Linked DNA regions of Drosophila melanogaster. The protein of the gene in region 3 interacts with the protein of the main gene of each other region in a pairwise test. Each region holds a gene or a part of one and is shown on either strand. Other genes may lie near its edges. The genes, in order: CG14354, BORCS6, CG15638 and Vti1a.

Region 1 (3,502 bases), on a different chromosome or scaffold from region 3:
TGGGGCTTGTGTCTGACTTTATAAATATTTCGTGTGTGTTGTGTACGCGCATGTATGAATTTTCAATTTTTTGAACAAGTTTCGGTTTCAGTTCAGACATGTCAAAATGTCAACTTGCTTAATTGAGAGTCCGCAAAACATCGAGCATCGCATCGCATTGCATCGCATTGCATCGAATCGAATCGAATCGAGACCTTAACTTCAATGTGCATTCGCATGGAATAAGAACAAAAGCCCAAGCAGATTCCAATTTCAGATCTGACATCAATAAGCACTTACAGTGGCATAAATATTATATATACTCGAGAGCTGGCAAATATATATGTCTATATGCGGTTCAAACACCAGAACGACATCGGCACTTCGCCACCTCGCCGCATAGACGAGTTGGTTTTCAGCTTCAGTTTTCAGTTAGCAGCAGGCACAGGACATGTTCGATGGACTGGCTGCAGAGGAAATTGAATTTGTGGGCAGGACCTCCCTCCCTAGACGGTTCATCCGATGGTGTCGGCGACGGGGCAGTGGGCTCTGCAATATCGAAGAAGGATATTTGAGTGGCAAGTAAATCAGAAATAAGAAAGAAAACACATCGTATACAAGGGAGCTCTCTTTGAGTTTGATCTATGTGTTTTTCGCAAAGACCAGACATTCAGAAAATTGATGTGTTTGTTTTCATTCTCCAGCCTTTAAGACATCATATTTCTCACAGAAACTATGCCTTCGGTTTTTTATGAGGCTATTTCAACTCCGTTTTGGTTGATCCATACACTTGGAAACACTGATATTGACTTTACTTTGAGACAAACTCGTTATTGCGATATTCATAGTTCGTAAGATTAATGCATTTAATGCATTACATATGCATATGCATACATATTCTAATATTTTTATCTTGCACACAATTTTTTTTTAAGTGTATGGCAAAAAGAAAGCATTCTGCTGGCATGCATATGAATTTCTTCTAGGATACTTTTTTTATGCGGTTTGCCGCCCACGTTCCGCACTTGGAGTGTCATTTTTGAGTGGAGTCGGTATGTGCGTAGGATGGGGCAGTGGGTATTGGTATGGAACACTTCCGCACAGGCACTTGAATACGCAAAAAGGCGAATGCAAGTGACGAGGTCCATGAACAAGGCCGAGAGTGTGTCCTGGCCGAAATACGGACTTTTGCGCCAGGGGACGACTTTGGTAAACAACCGCACTCTGGTCAAATTTGGACTGTGGTCCTGGCCACATATATACACAGTTTAAGCAGTTAAAGTTATCTGTTATCTCTAATTGAGAGAGAAATGTGTGTGCGTGTGTGGGGGCTCAAATTTAAAGTTGTTGATTTTATTACGCATACGCCTAGTGGCTCTAGCCATGGCCTCTTATGTTGGCCGTAACAAACTTGCCCGCTTAATGGCGCAGCTTTTTCGGGTCCTCAATCAAATGGTAGGAAATGTCGGGGCTTTCGTCATGGGAAGCCGGCAAAAACCCTTTTCGGATTAACAGATCAACGCACAAATGACCCGAGCAATCGTCTTGGGTTTTCCCAGTTTTTTCCTTCTTGATTTTCCCTGCCATTCCGATAAGGCTGGAAGCTTATCGGGGCTGAAGGACTTTGACGACCCAATTAATTCTTGTTCAACAACCGGCCGAAAAAAAAAATTGTTGCCACATGCATTGTTAGTCTACTTTTCATGTCAAGGAAAAGCGACGGCTGAGAAAAAAAAAACTAAGTGAATAAGGTACAAAAGAAAATAAAAATGAGAAACTCGTGAACGTTAAGTTAAATTGCGCGGAAAAGTTATGCGTCCCCGTTACCCAGAGTTTCTCTAACAAAAAAACTTTGTTAAACATTTTATTCCCTAGAACGCTTGCCACGTTGGCTTAGCGGAACTACTTGAAATGTAAAAATGTTCGAGCCTTGAGTTGAAAAGGCAAACTTGGCAGCAACTTTGAAGGTTCACATAATTATGCGCATTGCCTTGCCACGGCTCCTGTGCCACATCCTTCTCTATCACCTGCTCATGATCTCGTCCAGCCTTGCAGCCTGCTACCAACGTCATTCGAGTTGCCCGCAGAACCAGCAGCAGTCCAGATCCCAGCTTCTGGACCAGTCCGCGGACCTCACCATGGGCATAAGACAAGGCAACTCCAAGCAGACCGCCTCGAATATTGCCCAGAAGGCTGCCCAGGAGGCCAAGAAGGCGTCGGACACTCAGGCACCAGCTGCTCTGGCTGCTGCCCGCCAGGTGAAACACCAGCTGGCCGAGAAAGCCATTGCTGCGGCCAAGGCCGCTGAGGCGGCGCTGGCGGGGAAACAACAACTTATGGAGCAGCTGCAGGACGAGGTGCACGAGGCGGAGATTATTGTGCAGGAGGAAACCTACTCACTGGTTGGTTCACAGGTATGTGCTAAACCCCCTTTTATTACCAATTCTATTATGATATGCTAAATTTCAGACAAATGTCAATGTCGCTGTTGCCACAGCGAAGCAATGTCAAACGCTGTTGCAATCGCTTCGGAGCTCAGTAAAAGTTGCCGAGGAGGCAGTGAGCAATGCTGAGGCAGCTGCATCCGGTGCCCAGCAGGAGTTGTGCGAAAAGAACCAGCTGGTGGAAACCGCTCGCCAGAGAGCAGAGATGCTGATGCAGCAGCTGCGCTCCGCCAAACTGGACTATACCAACACGAGGAAGGCCGCCTACAGGGCTGCCTGTGCCGCCAACGAAGCAAGGAACAAGGCTGTAAGGGACCGAAGATCCTACGAGGAGGACATCGGTGGAACTTTTGGGCAGCAGCAGCAGCAGCAGCAACAAATGCTGCACAATCACGACCAGCCAGGAAATCTCCAAGATCCAGAAGTTAAAGGACAGGTGGAGGGATGGGAGTATAATGAGCAGGGTAAAGCTATATTTTCTAATTGATGTGCCCTGTAAAATACATATTATTTTGCTAAAATAGTTTAAAAAAAAAATGTATTAAAAGGACCAAATTCCGGACTTTATTTTAAAGTTTATCAGCAGCATGAGACCATGTTTCGAGTGAAAAGTGTGGGCACATTGGAACTTTCTCTGCCAAACGCCTGGGGGATTTGGCAACGCCAATCGAAGCGAACTCCAAAAAGGCAAAATGACAGAGCCAAAAAGGGACACGAAACCCAATTGGCTTGTAAAACAATTTGACCAAAGCTATTTTGTTATAACTTTTGGCTCTTTTTTTTTGTTTTCACATTTTTCTTTCCTTTTTTTGCGGTCACAGTGACAGTGGAAAAAGGCGTGACACAATAGGGGGCATTACTAAAGTTTTCACCACACGTTTTCAATAATGATTAGTTTCGGTATTCTCTTTGGGGAATTGACAAAGAACATTGCCAAGAACATTAAGTTTAAAGTTTTTCGATTCTCGCTCGCTTGCAAAAGTTTACTTACATAAGCAGAAATGGCAATAAATAAATGTTGCTTGTCACCGTATTAATTGGGTCATCAGTTGGGATATCGTGAAAGTTGGCTGGAAAGC
Region 2 (3,647 bases), on a different chromosome or scaffold from region 3:
AGAGAAAACCCCGTTCAAGTGTCGCCCATGAAAATGGAAAATCTTTCTTCGATGCGATGTAAATAAACAGTAAGAGTGCGACAACATTTGTTTATAGAAATGGAATGGAATTTAAAGTGCGAAATAGGGAAATACTTAACAAAACAAGGATCCAGAAATTGAGTTCTTTTATTTTCGACCAACTTGCTTGTTTTTCCTATTGGATTTAGACGTTTAAAAATACATTTTTTTACAGAATATAAAAGTTAGAAGCTAATTATCGAGTAATTCCTTTCTCCTGATTCATCACATGCTTTTCTTGTCCACATATCAATCCACTTTTCCATATTATCGATGCCAAAATAAACGATTGATTGATTGATTGAAAAATCAACCCACGCATTTTAATAAAAACAACAACAATTCAAATGTGCAGTTACACACACATAACTAAAAGGGAAGAGAGTGGAAAGCCGAAAGAGAAGAAGAGCGAGAGAGAGCAAATATTATCGCAGTTATTACGAAATCGCAATCGAAACATAACGGTAGATATAGATAGGAAAAGCACCAATACAATAAAGCGAATATAACCGCTAGAGGAAGAGGGGAAGAAGTGGGTGGGTGAAAAAGAAAGATCGCTGTCTCTTTCTCGCTCTCATACTTGCTGACTGCACAATTTGCAGTTAAAAGAAAGAAGCAGAACGGCCTGAGAAGAAAGACAAAGCATAAGAGTAACTGGCCAAGAAGAAGAAAAGAACAAGAAGTCAAGAACAAAATAGAAGAGAGCACACACACACACACATTCGTACGTACCCGTAGAAAACAGAGAAGGCAAAAAAGTCTTTCCTTTTTTTTACACTTTTATCCATTTTCAGTTGCATTTTATAAGATTCTTTAGTACAAACAATTTAACTTACTTGCTTTTTTTAGCAGCCACGCATGCGTCGAATGGGAATTTATGCTCCTTGAGACTCCAATTGGAATTTGTACCCCGGCTGCAAACAGTTTTTTTTTCTCTCTTGCTTTATTTCCACACTGCACACATACACATATGCAGCGGCACATACACACAAGTGCACGCACTGCAGTCGATTTTGTTTTTTTTGCATAAAACTTTATTTCATGTATGCCACTTGTACATTGTTTGTCACCAATTTGCGTATTTTGTACATCAAATTTTATTTTACTTTTCGTTGCCTTCCTTATTATTTTCCTAATCTTCACATGCACTTTTTTAGCGACGCCAACACACACATTTGCACACGCACACACATGGCGAGGATGAGAGAGGAGAAAGAGAGCAAAACACCGTTTTCGTTGCTTCCTTTTCGCTTATTCCTCTTTAGCCGCTTCTTTTCGATTCTGGCTCTTTTTGGCACTTTTAGCCCCAAGTTGCTAGCAATTCACTTAGCGTACGAGCACTAACAATTAAAACGAATAAGACTCGAAAAATACGATGGAAACGCGAACATATAAACAAAAATCTACATTGGTTTTATTGCAGCGCTACGCAGGTGTGTTTTTACGCGCTCATCGCGCAATTAAATTAGAACGCTGCAGATTTACTTAGTTCACTCCAGTCTGCCCAATGCGCGCCGCACACCTCGGAGCCGCAAATTATAAACACGACTGTCTTCGATTTAACGGGCTGGCCTATCGGTCCTATCGATGACTCGATAGTGCGAGCTGGAGTGTGACCATTTCTTGGTAAAAGCAAAATCGTGAAGAGTAAGTGTGCGATACTATCGAACTGTCATATACTCAACCAAATAACATCTGAAATCTGTTTCTCACTAAAACCGAAATTTCCATCAGGGTTAGGAAAATATAGTTTACGCACATCAAGTTGCATAGGTCAATCCTACGTAAAAAAGGCTCGATATAGGTAAGGTGGACCTCAGCCTGAACAGGGCCTAATGCAAATACATTCGATAAATAGATGTTATCGATAACCATTTGGTATATACCAGTAAATGCTTTGTTTTGGTTTTCATTCAGAAAATTGACATACATTTCTTAGTCTGCCTAAAGTTCCTTGGATTGAAAAGAGCAGTGCAGAATGTCGCACCGCCACCAGGACATTCCCATCCGCCCACGTTACGGTTATGTGGCCGAGGAGAGTGGCCCATCGGAAGGGGCAGCCAGGAGTTCTGGATCCGGAGCCACGCCCGCCTCCTCCTACACGGAAATTCCGTTCCTGGCTCAGTATCCGGGAGCGGTGCCAGAGCACGTGCTCCAGGATCTGACGCCCACAGCCACTGGCCATGCTGCGATTCCCGGAAGCACAAAGACAAGACCCAACGGCGAGAAATACCTTAACCTGGATTCGGGCGAGGATCCCGACGAGGAAGACGATCCCTTGGAGGAGGAGGACAACAGCAACTCGAATAGCAACTCTAAGGGCAGTTCCGGCGACATCGAAAGGCACAGACTGAAGGCAGAGAGCAGTGGGTTCTAGGTTATCTACCCATAGTTCCTGACTAAAGCATCTTCCTTCTTTCAGCTGTGCCCTACGAGCTGGACGGCGAAACCAGTGACTCCGACGGGATGCGCCACTTTGTGGCCCACGATCTAGAGGCCAAGTTGCGCGAGCGCGTGGCGGCTTCGGCCTACTCCTCGGAGCACACCACGCCCCTGAGCTCCATGGGTCCCATTGGAGCCACTTCCGGCAACGGTCTGCTCACGCGGCGGTTCCTGCAGTCGCGCAACATTCCCGAAGTGGACGGCAGCGTCTTGAGCGACATCGAACTGGAGGCTCAGTACTTGGCCAGCTCGGTGGACAATCTGATGGAAAACCTGGGCAACCTGCTGCACTCAATCTCCTCCATAACGGCCGACAACGTGGAGGTCCATCGCAACGCGGTCAACAAGCTGACGGACACTTTGGACGCGAATATCAAGTGCCAGTACCAATTGCTGGCCAAGGCGGAGGAAATCACCAAGTCGATGAAACCCACAGAGCAGCTGGGTCAGCGCATGTAAGTGGGTCAATTCAAGACAGATCCCTTTAGTGTAATGGACTTTCTCTTCCGCAGAAGGCAGATCAAGCGGCTGGTGGACATGTTGGACAGCACCATGTAAAATAGGGCTACGCTATCCTGTGATCAACCAATCAAAGAGATCTTGTCTTTCTAGTCATTCCGTAAATACATATAATCAGTGTTATAAAATCCATATGGAAAGATACCTTTCGCTTGTTTAAATCGTACTTATTCTAGCAGTTCCTCCAAAAAATCCACCTCCTTGGCTCACAGCTTCTCCACCTTGGCCTTGATGATCCTTAGGGGATCCACGGGGCGATCGTTCTTGTCGGTTTCCACCATGCCGATCCGCTTGACCACCTCCATGCCCGTGTAGACCCTGCCGAAGATCGTGTGCTTGCCATCCAGCCACTGCGTGGGCGCCAGCGTGATGAAGAACTGGGACCCGTTGGTGTCCGGTCCAGAGTTGGCCATCGAGAGGATGCCCGCGCCCGTGTGCCTCAAGTCGCCGTGCAGCTCGTCCGCGAACTCCGATCCGTAGATGGAGGCGCCTCCGCGGCCAGTGCCCGTGGGATCGCCGCCCTGGATCATGAAGTCCCTGATGATCCGGTGGAACACCACGTTGTTGTAGTAGCCCCTTCTCGAGAGTTCGGCAAAGTTGCGGCAGGTGTTGGGCGCGTGTTTCCA
Region 3 (2,785 bases):
ATTCCCAAGTGCGAAAGGGATTTGGGGCCGGGAATTATGAGAAAGCACAGTCTGCACACCTCCATTTATGTACATATTAACATATGAATGCAACTCGCATATATCGCATATGTATATGTATACATCACATATCTATGTACATACATACCTGTCTCTCTTTGTTGACTTCGTGGAACAACAGCCAAATGCTTTTTGGTGGGCTTCGAATGAGCTTCGTCTGTTGCAGTGCTAAAACTCATAAATGAATTTGACATGGGATCCATGCAGCCTGCAATGAGAAACGGAATTAAATTCGTTAGTATTTTGATTGTCATAATTCGGTCATTGGTGATTTCGCAAATATGCGTGGTATATGTATGTATATATGTTTTGTATGGACTAGCATTAAAAGTTTTATAATCTTATGATTTTTTATAGCATTCATGTTGCATCAAAAATTAAAGTATCAAGCAAATAAATAAATAGTATTTTGTGAGCCCAACATAAAACATCTTCGTTAAAAGAGGAAGAAAATTGAGATCCAAATGACATTATGTACATTATTTCTTTTTATCTTTATTTCATCGTTAGCACTTGAATTTGGCACCACCTAAACCGAATGATTATGCATTTGCAAAGGAATTCTTCAGCCAGGACCCTTCACTCAGCATCCACATTCAACCGCACCTGCTGGCAGAGGTCCTTCAGCTGCTTGCCCGACTCCTCCATTGCGGTTCGCAGCTGGGAGAGACTGATCTGCAGCCGGGCCATGCGCATGTCGCCGGCTTTTAGCCGCACCTCCTGGTTGGACGTAAAGCCGGTGGCATCTCGACGAGCTCGCTGTGGGCGTGGGTGCTGTGGACGTGGGTGCAATTGGAGGTTCCTTTGGGTGACCAGATTGGCAGCCAGACGAGTGTCGGACTCCTCCGTCTGGTCGAGGCCATTGCTGGGTCGGCAGTGCGTCTTGGGTTTCGTTTCCGGCATTCTAGCTTGGGCGGTGGATTATAATCTCCGTTCTAGTCGATTGTTGTCACAAAAATTTGGCTTGGGAAATTGACATCTATGAATACGTATGTATGTATGTATGTCGAAGTGTTTCAAATTGTGACATCATGAGCATGAAATTCTGAGCTCCGCACAGGATGCGATATGGTTCGGTATTTTGTGGTGGCCACCCGGAAAAGTTAGCCGGCAGAAGGGGCAACATGTGTGCTTTGGAGCATACCACTGAACTTTAATTACAATTAACCGCAAATGATGTAGCGCTGCTGGTGACTTGCGGTCATATGCGAAAAAATTATGATAACAAAATGTTAAACCTTCTTTATGCGACTTTAAAATGCCCTTTAATAAATTAAATTGTTTATAATATCAATTTTAAACCATAAAGAAAGGCTACACAATATAGACAGCTATCTTAAAAAAGTTAAATCATATATTTTATACTGTTGCTTTGGCCCTGAATATCAAATTCGACTTGTTCAATGAAATAACTAATTTAAATCAATTACTTAAGTTGAGAGCAATAATTAATTCATGTCTTCCATAATTGAAATCGACATCCCTGGTAGCATCGCCAATGCAGGATACTGCAAAAAAGTGGAAGTAAACCTATTATTGTGCCAGGAGTGCCCAGGCACACAGACACACTCCTTCCAGGAGGCAGGAATCCAGGAGTAACACGGACACGAACGTGGAACGAGAAAGGAAGGGAGGACGAGGAATGGGGCTGACCACATGGGAGGACGAAATGGCATGCGATGGCCGGGCAAAACCAGCTCCTGTTACCTTGCGGAAAATGTAGGGGATGGGGCGGGGGTCTTGCAATTAATTAAAAATACATGCACCGTGAACGAGTTGCAGACATCCTGGCCCTGGTCCTCCTGCCTCCTGCAGCTGCATTAATTTGACCGCAAAATAAGCCAAGTATTCGGTGCAAGGCGAAACCATATCGGCAGAGCGAATATTTTCCGTGCCACCGCTCACCGCTAAATGCATTACACTCGAGACCAGCAAAATGATGTCCTGCTTTCGTACGAGCCCCCCCCCCTCCTCATCACTCTTTTTTCTTCTTCCTCTTTTCTTGTCTGGGAGCCAGTGGTCAGCATGTGGCTGGCAGAAAAAGGTCCTTGTGCTGCCATTCGTGCTGCGTAAGCTGCGTTCATTTGTAAACAACATAGTCATCGCTCGAAAACAATAACAAGCCCAGCCAGAAGGACAGCAGCTAAAGTTAGAGTACGTAAGACCTGAATAATTGAATACACTTTGCGAGCTCTGCACAAAAAAAAAAATGTAATTCAGGCAAATTGAGCACGAGAAATAATTTAAAACATTGTACTGTACATGGGATAATACATATCATAATAATTCGAGAGACTCGCATTTCGTAGATAAAATCATAAAATCAGCAATCGCAAATCAGTGGCCGCCTTCTAATCGGAATTTTTCTGCTATCTACAAATTACATTTCCTGCATTTGTACATATGGCATAGACAAAAGCCATGGCAAATTGCGTGGCTTTTGGCTTATATGTACATATGGTTATGCGCAGGGTATGGGAAAAGTAACCAAGGCCAGGACATCAAATAAAGTTAAGCAAACAAGAGCATTAAGTGCATTGATGTTGTTATTGCCGTTGTCCGGGGAACCCAGAAAGCGTTTCCTTTTTATTTTTACTCCTCGCTGGTCCTTCGTGGTCCTTCGTCGATGCCTTTGCCGATTTAAGGAACAACTTCATTAGGCAAGTGCTCGACCGGCTCCAAGCAGCCTGCTGCCTGTCCTTCTATCTCCTTTATCGCCGTCTAT
Region 4 (3,853 bases), on a different chromosome or scaffold from region 3:
ACCCCTTCCACAAGCTGTGGAAGGAGGCGTGCCACGCCTCCCTAAGACGAATTGTGCCCTTCAAAAAGCCAGTGGTATGTGCCCTGCACTTTGACCCCAGTGTCTTGGGTGGCAGGCGACTGCAGTCGAATGCGCTGCCCACCCTGCGTCTGGAAGTTCCCTCCAACCTGGAGGCCGTTGAGCAGCAGGCCATGGTGGAGGAGATCGAGAGGAGCCGAAAGTGCGCCTACATCAATGCAGTGGTATACGAATGGCTAGTAAGGGCCAATATCAATCCCCAGCTGCGAGGTAGCATTACCCACGGAATGATCAAGGACAAGGCGGAGAATGCCAGACAAGTCATAGGGAGCACATCCTTTATAGCAGACAATCGCTGGTTAAACCGTTTCCGAGAGACTCATCTTCAAGGCTTTGCCCAAAAACTAGCCAGCAACCAGTTGAAGCCACTAGGATCCTCCCTGTGGATCCCGGACATCGTACAGGACCTAGCCCATCTCTTTCCGCCCGCGAGCGCTGAAAGAGTGGCCAAACTGGAGGAGATGCCCGAGCAGTACATGACCTACATGCAACAGTACGGAGAATACGAAGAAGATGATGACAGTATGGATGTAAAGGAGCAGAGCTATCAAGAGCAACAGCAGCAGCAACAGCAGCACTTTGCCCTCCAGCAGCAACATATGCAACAGCAGCAGCATCAAATGGGCCACCCATGGCCACCGTTTCCAGGACATCCCGGACATCCTACTCCACACCCCGGGTTCGCCAGCTTCAACGACTTTTATTTCGAGCGGCATCAACAGCAAATGCAACAGCAACTCCAGCAGCAGCAGCAGATGCAACAGTTTCCACCCACTATGCCACCTCAAAGGGAACCCTTTCAGCCCCAATTGCCGCCAAATGTTCCACCGCAGCGGGCCAGTCCCTTCCAGCCCGTTCAGTTGGCCAAGAGACCCAAAATGGAGTCACCCGATGATGACGAAGTGCAAGAGATTAACTCAGCGGTGAACTCACCACCATATCCGCTAGCAGAATCAACCTTAACCAGCAAGCACAGTCGAAGTTCCAGTCCCAACGAGCAGAACAACAATAATAGCGGGGGAAGAGACAGTGCCAGCAGCAAGGAGAACGCCCCCAAGGGAGGCGGAACAAGTGGCAAATCCACGCCTGCCCTTTCTTCCAAGGGAAAGGACTCACCTGCACCAGCTCGAGCTGCGTCCACCAAACCCGCCTCTGCTCCCGCCTCGCCAAAAAAGATCCCCAATGGATCCAGCTCCTCCGGCAGCCAAACCAATGGACACACATCCCCAGACCCCGAGGATAAGAAGGCTTTATGCATGCTGAAGGAGTTGGAAAGCTACCACCAGGCCTTGGAGTACCTAAAACCGCTGGAGGACTTCGTGCTCTTCAAGGAGAACTTTCGGGCTATTGGCTTGCTGTCCCAATTGGAACTGGTGCTCCGAAAAGGGGACAAGGCCACACTGGTCGAGGGTTAAGAGTTTTCTAATCGCGGACCAGGACAGCACAAAACATAAATGTGATGAACAGTGTACATATGTATCATGTAGTATTATTAAATCGTACTACCGCCAAAACAGTTGCTTAGGTTAACAAAGAATCTCCACTCGCATAAAGCTGAACCTAATTAATTAATTTATTAATTACTCTAAGTACAATAAAATGGAATTTATAAAATAATAGATATGTTTGTGTTTTATTTACGTATTTAAAACGGAAGTTGGTTTTATCTGAGTTCTTACGAGAATATTGTAGTCCTTGAAGTTGGCAGTGTTTTTTACATGAGTATGGCAACGCTGACTCGAAATCAGAGTGACCACGACTTAAAAGTATTTATAGATTGCTGTATTACTGTTCACCTCATGACTCGGCCACACTTGGACAATGTTTACTTCTTTTCTTCGATAAATCTGTAATTTTCGCGAACTAAAACAGAACAAATACCATAAACAACTGAATAAGGTAGAATAAAAACCGCACAAATGTCGCTTCTGGAGCAATACGAACAGCAATACGCCACGTTAATAGCAGAAATAACGGCCCATATTGGACGGCTGCAGCAGCAAAACAACAACAGTGAGTGGGATGATTGTCCATGGATTGTACATTATGGTGATTACCATTTGTCCATTTACTCCAGGCGAGCGCCATGATTTGTGCAGCAAGATCGACTCCAGTTTGCCCGAGGCTCAGGAATTGCTGGAGCAGATGGGTCTGGAGGTGAGGGAGCTAAATCCTGGACTGCGGAGCAGCTTCAACGGAAAGCTGCAGGTGGCCCAGGCAGAACTGAAACGGCTGCAGGCGGAGTACAGGTTGACCAAGGACAAACAGCGCTCCCAAGCCAACACATTCACCACTCTGGACTTGGGTGACAGCTATGAGGATGTGTCCATAAGTACAGATCAACGCCAACGCCTCTTGGACAACTCGGAAAGGATTGAACGGACGGGCAACAGGTTAACCGAAGGGTACAGAGTGGCCTTGGAGACGGAGCAACTGGGCGCCCAGGTCCTAAATGATCTGCACCACCAAAGGGAAACTCTACAGGGAGCCAGGGCTCGACTTCGAGAAACCAATGCCGAGCTGGGAAGAGCTTCTCGCACTCTGAATACCATGATGTTAAGAGCCCTGCGGGAGAAGGTGGTCTTGTATGGAGTGGGTGTCTGCTTTGTGGTGGCCGTGGGCGTCAGTCTCTATCTGACCTTCGCACCCAGTTCAAGCAGCACCGCCTCGTCGTAGTAATTTTAGCTAGCAAACCAATAGCCAATGATCTTAGCCCAAATTCAAATGTTATAGAAGCCTGTCCATTCCAATTTCGTGAGTTGATTATTTATTGTTTAGTATATTTTATTTTTACGAGATATTCTGTGGAAGAAAGCTGCAGATTACGCACTAATCTATATAAGATAGGATGGAGTATTACGTGCAATAAGAGTCGAAGCTTAGAGTAGTTATCTGCGGTCAATCGATGTCTATATATTTTGTTGTCCTTTTACCTTTAAGATTAAATTGACCTTCTTGTTAATCGATGGAATTCCTATTACTTTTTAATTCTTACCGCAGATTTCTAACCTATCACTCGCGTATCCGCCATCCTAGCTTACGTGTACAAAGTTTAAGTGGTTAATGTTTGGCGCCTGGTTAATAGAAACTAATCCTACTCTATGACTCGTGTTCGCGTTCGGGACGTATTTTTCGTAAAAATTCGAATTGAACATGTACGTATCTAAAAATCATAACATAGCCGAAAGCTATCAATAAATAAAGGAAACAGTAAAAATGCATCTCTGCGTGAGCATTGAGCCTGGCGGGAATAAGGGTTCCTAGCCGAACTCAATGTTCCCCAACTGCTAGCAGCCGCAGGAGGAGGCGTCCTCCTCGTTGGTCGCCGCGCCGCTGCTCGCAGTGTCCACCTGGAAGCTCTTGTGCTCCAGTGCCTGCAGTTCCATTTTGGAGCGATTGGCGTGGACCAGTTGCCTAGAGATGTCACGGAACATCTCCTCCACACCGGCGCCGCTGCGACAGGAGGTCTTGTACGTGGCACTGATCAGTGAGTGGCACTGCTCGCAGAAGGCCTCCACTTCCTCATCGCTGACCTCCGGCTCCCTGCCATCCAGATCGCTCTTATTGCCACAGATGAAGATCTTGGCATTCTCTGCATAGGTCACAATGTCCAGCAAGTGCTGCGACAGCGAGTGGAACGAAGCGGCGTTGTCCAAAGCAAAGACCAGGATGGCTCCCTCGGCGAACTTGTAGTACGAGGATGTGACCGAGGCCACACGCTCCATGCCACCGGTGTCCCAGAGTTGGAGCTGTCAAAGAAGACGGTATATACATA

What was found.
Region 1: the proteins of CG15638 (region 3) and CG14354 interact in a two-hybrid assay, tested with the Drosophila melanogaster proteins (one large-scale study listed by BioGRID).
Region 2: the proteins of CG15638 (region 3) and BORCS6 interact in a two-hybrid assay, tested with the Drosophila melanogaster proteins (one large-scale study listed by BioGRID).
Region 4: the proteins of CG15638 (region 3) and Vti1a interact in a two-hybrid assay, tested with the Drosophila melanogaster proteins (one large-scale study listed by BioGRID).

The regions. Positions count from the first base shown.
Region 1 is NT_033777.3:25,813,600-25,817,101, forward strand, and holds CG14354 (uncharacterized protein), read left to right. Parts: upstream 1-1,879; 5' UTR 1,880-1,958; coding exon 1,959-2,393; intron 2,394-2,448; coding exon 2,449-2,910; 3' UTR 2,911-2,975; downstream 2,976-3,502.
Region 2 is NT_037436.4:539,003-542,649, forward strand, and holds BORCS6 (BLOC-1 related complex subunit 6), read left to right. Parts: upstream 1-1,848; 5' UTR 1,849-1,938; exon of another isoform or gene 1,939-1,999; 5' UTR 2,000-2,038; coding exon 2,039-2,426; intron 2,427-2,482; coding exon 2,483-2,957; intron 2,958-3,014; coding exon 3,015-3,060; 3' UTR 3,061-3,145; downstream 3,146-3,647. Other genes in the region: Cypl (Cyclophilin-like), read right to left, coding at 3,228-3,647.
Region 3 is NT_033779.5:13,534,759-13,537,543, forward strand, and holds CG15638 (uncharacterized protein), read right to left. Parts: upstream 1,021-2,785; 5' UTR 964-1,020; coding exon 640-963; 3' UTR 533-639; downstream 1-532.
Region 4 is NT_037436.4:690,923-694,775, reverse strand, and holds Vti1a (vesicle transport through interaction with t-SNAREs 1a), read left to right. Parts: upstream 1-1,856; 5' UTR 1,857-1,997; coding exon 1,998-2,091; intron 2,092-2,155; coding exon 2,156-2,754; 3' UTR 2,755-3,290; downstream 3,291-3,853. Other genes in the region: CG13894 (uncharacterized protein), read left to right, coding at 1-1,493; RabX6, read right to left, coding at 3,366-3,827.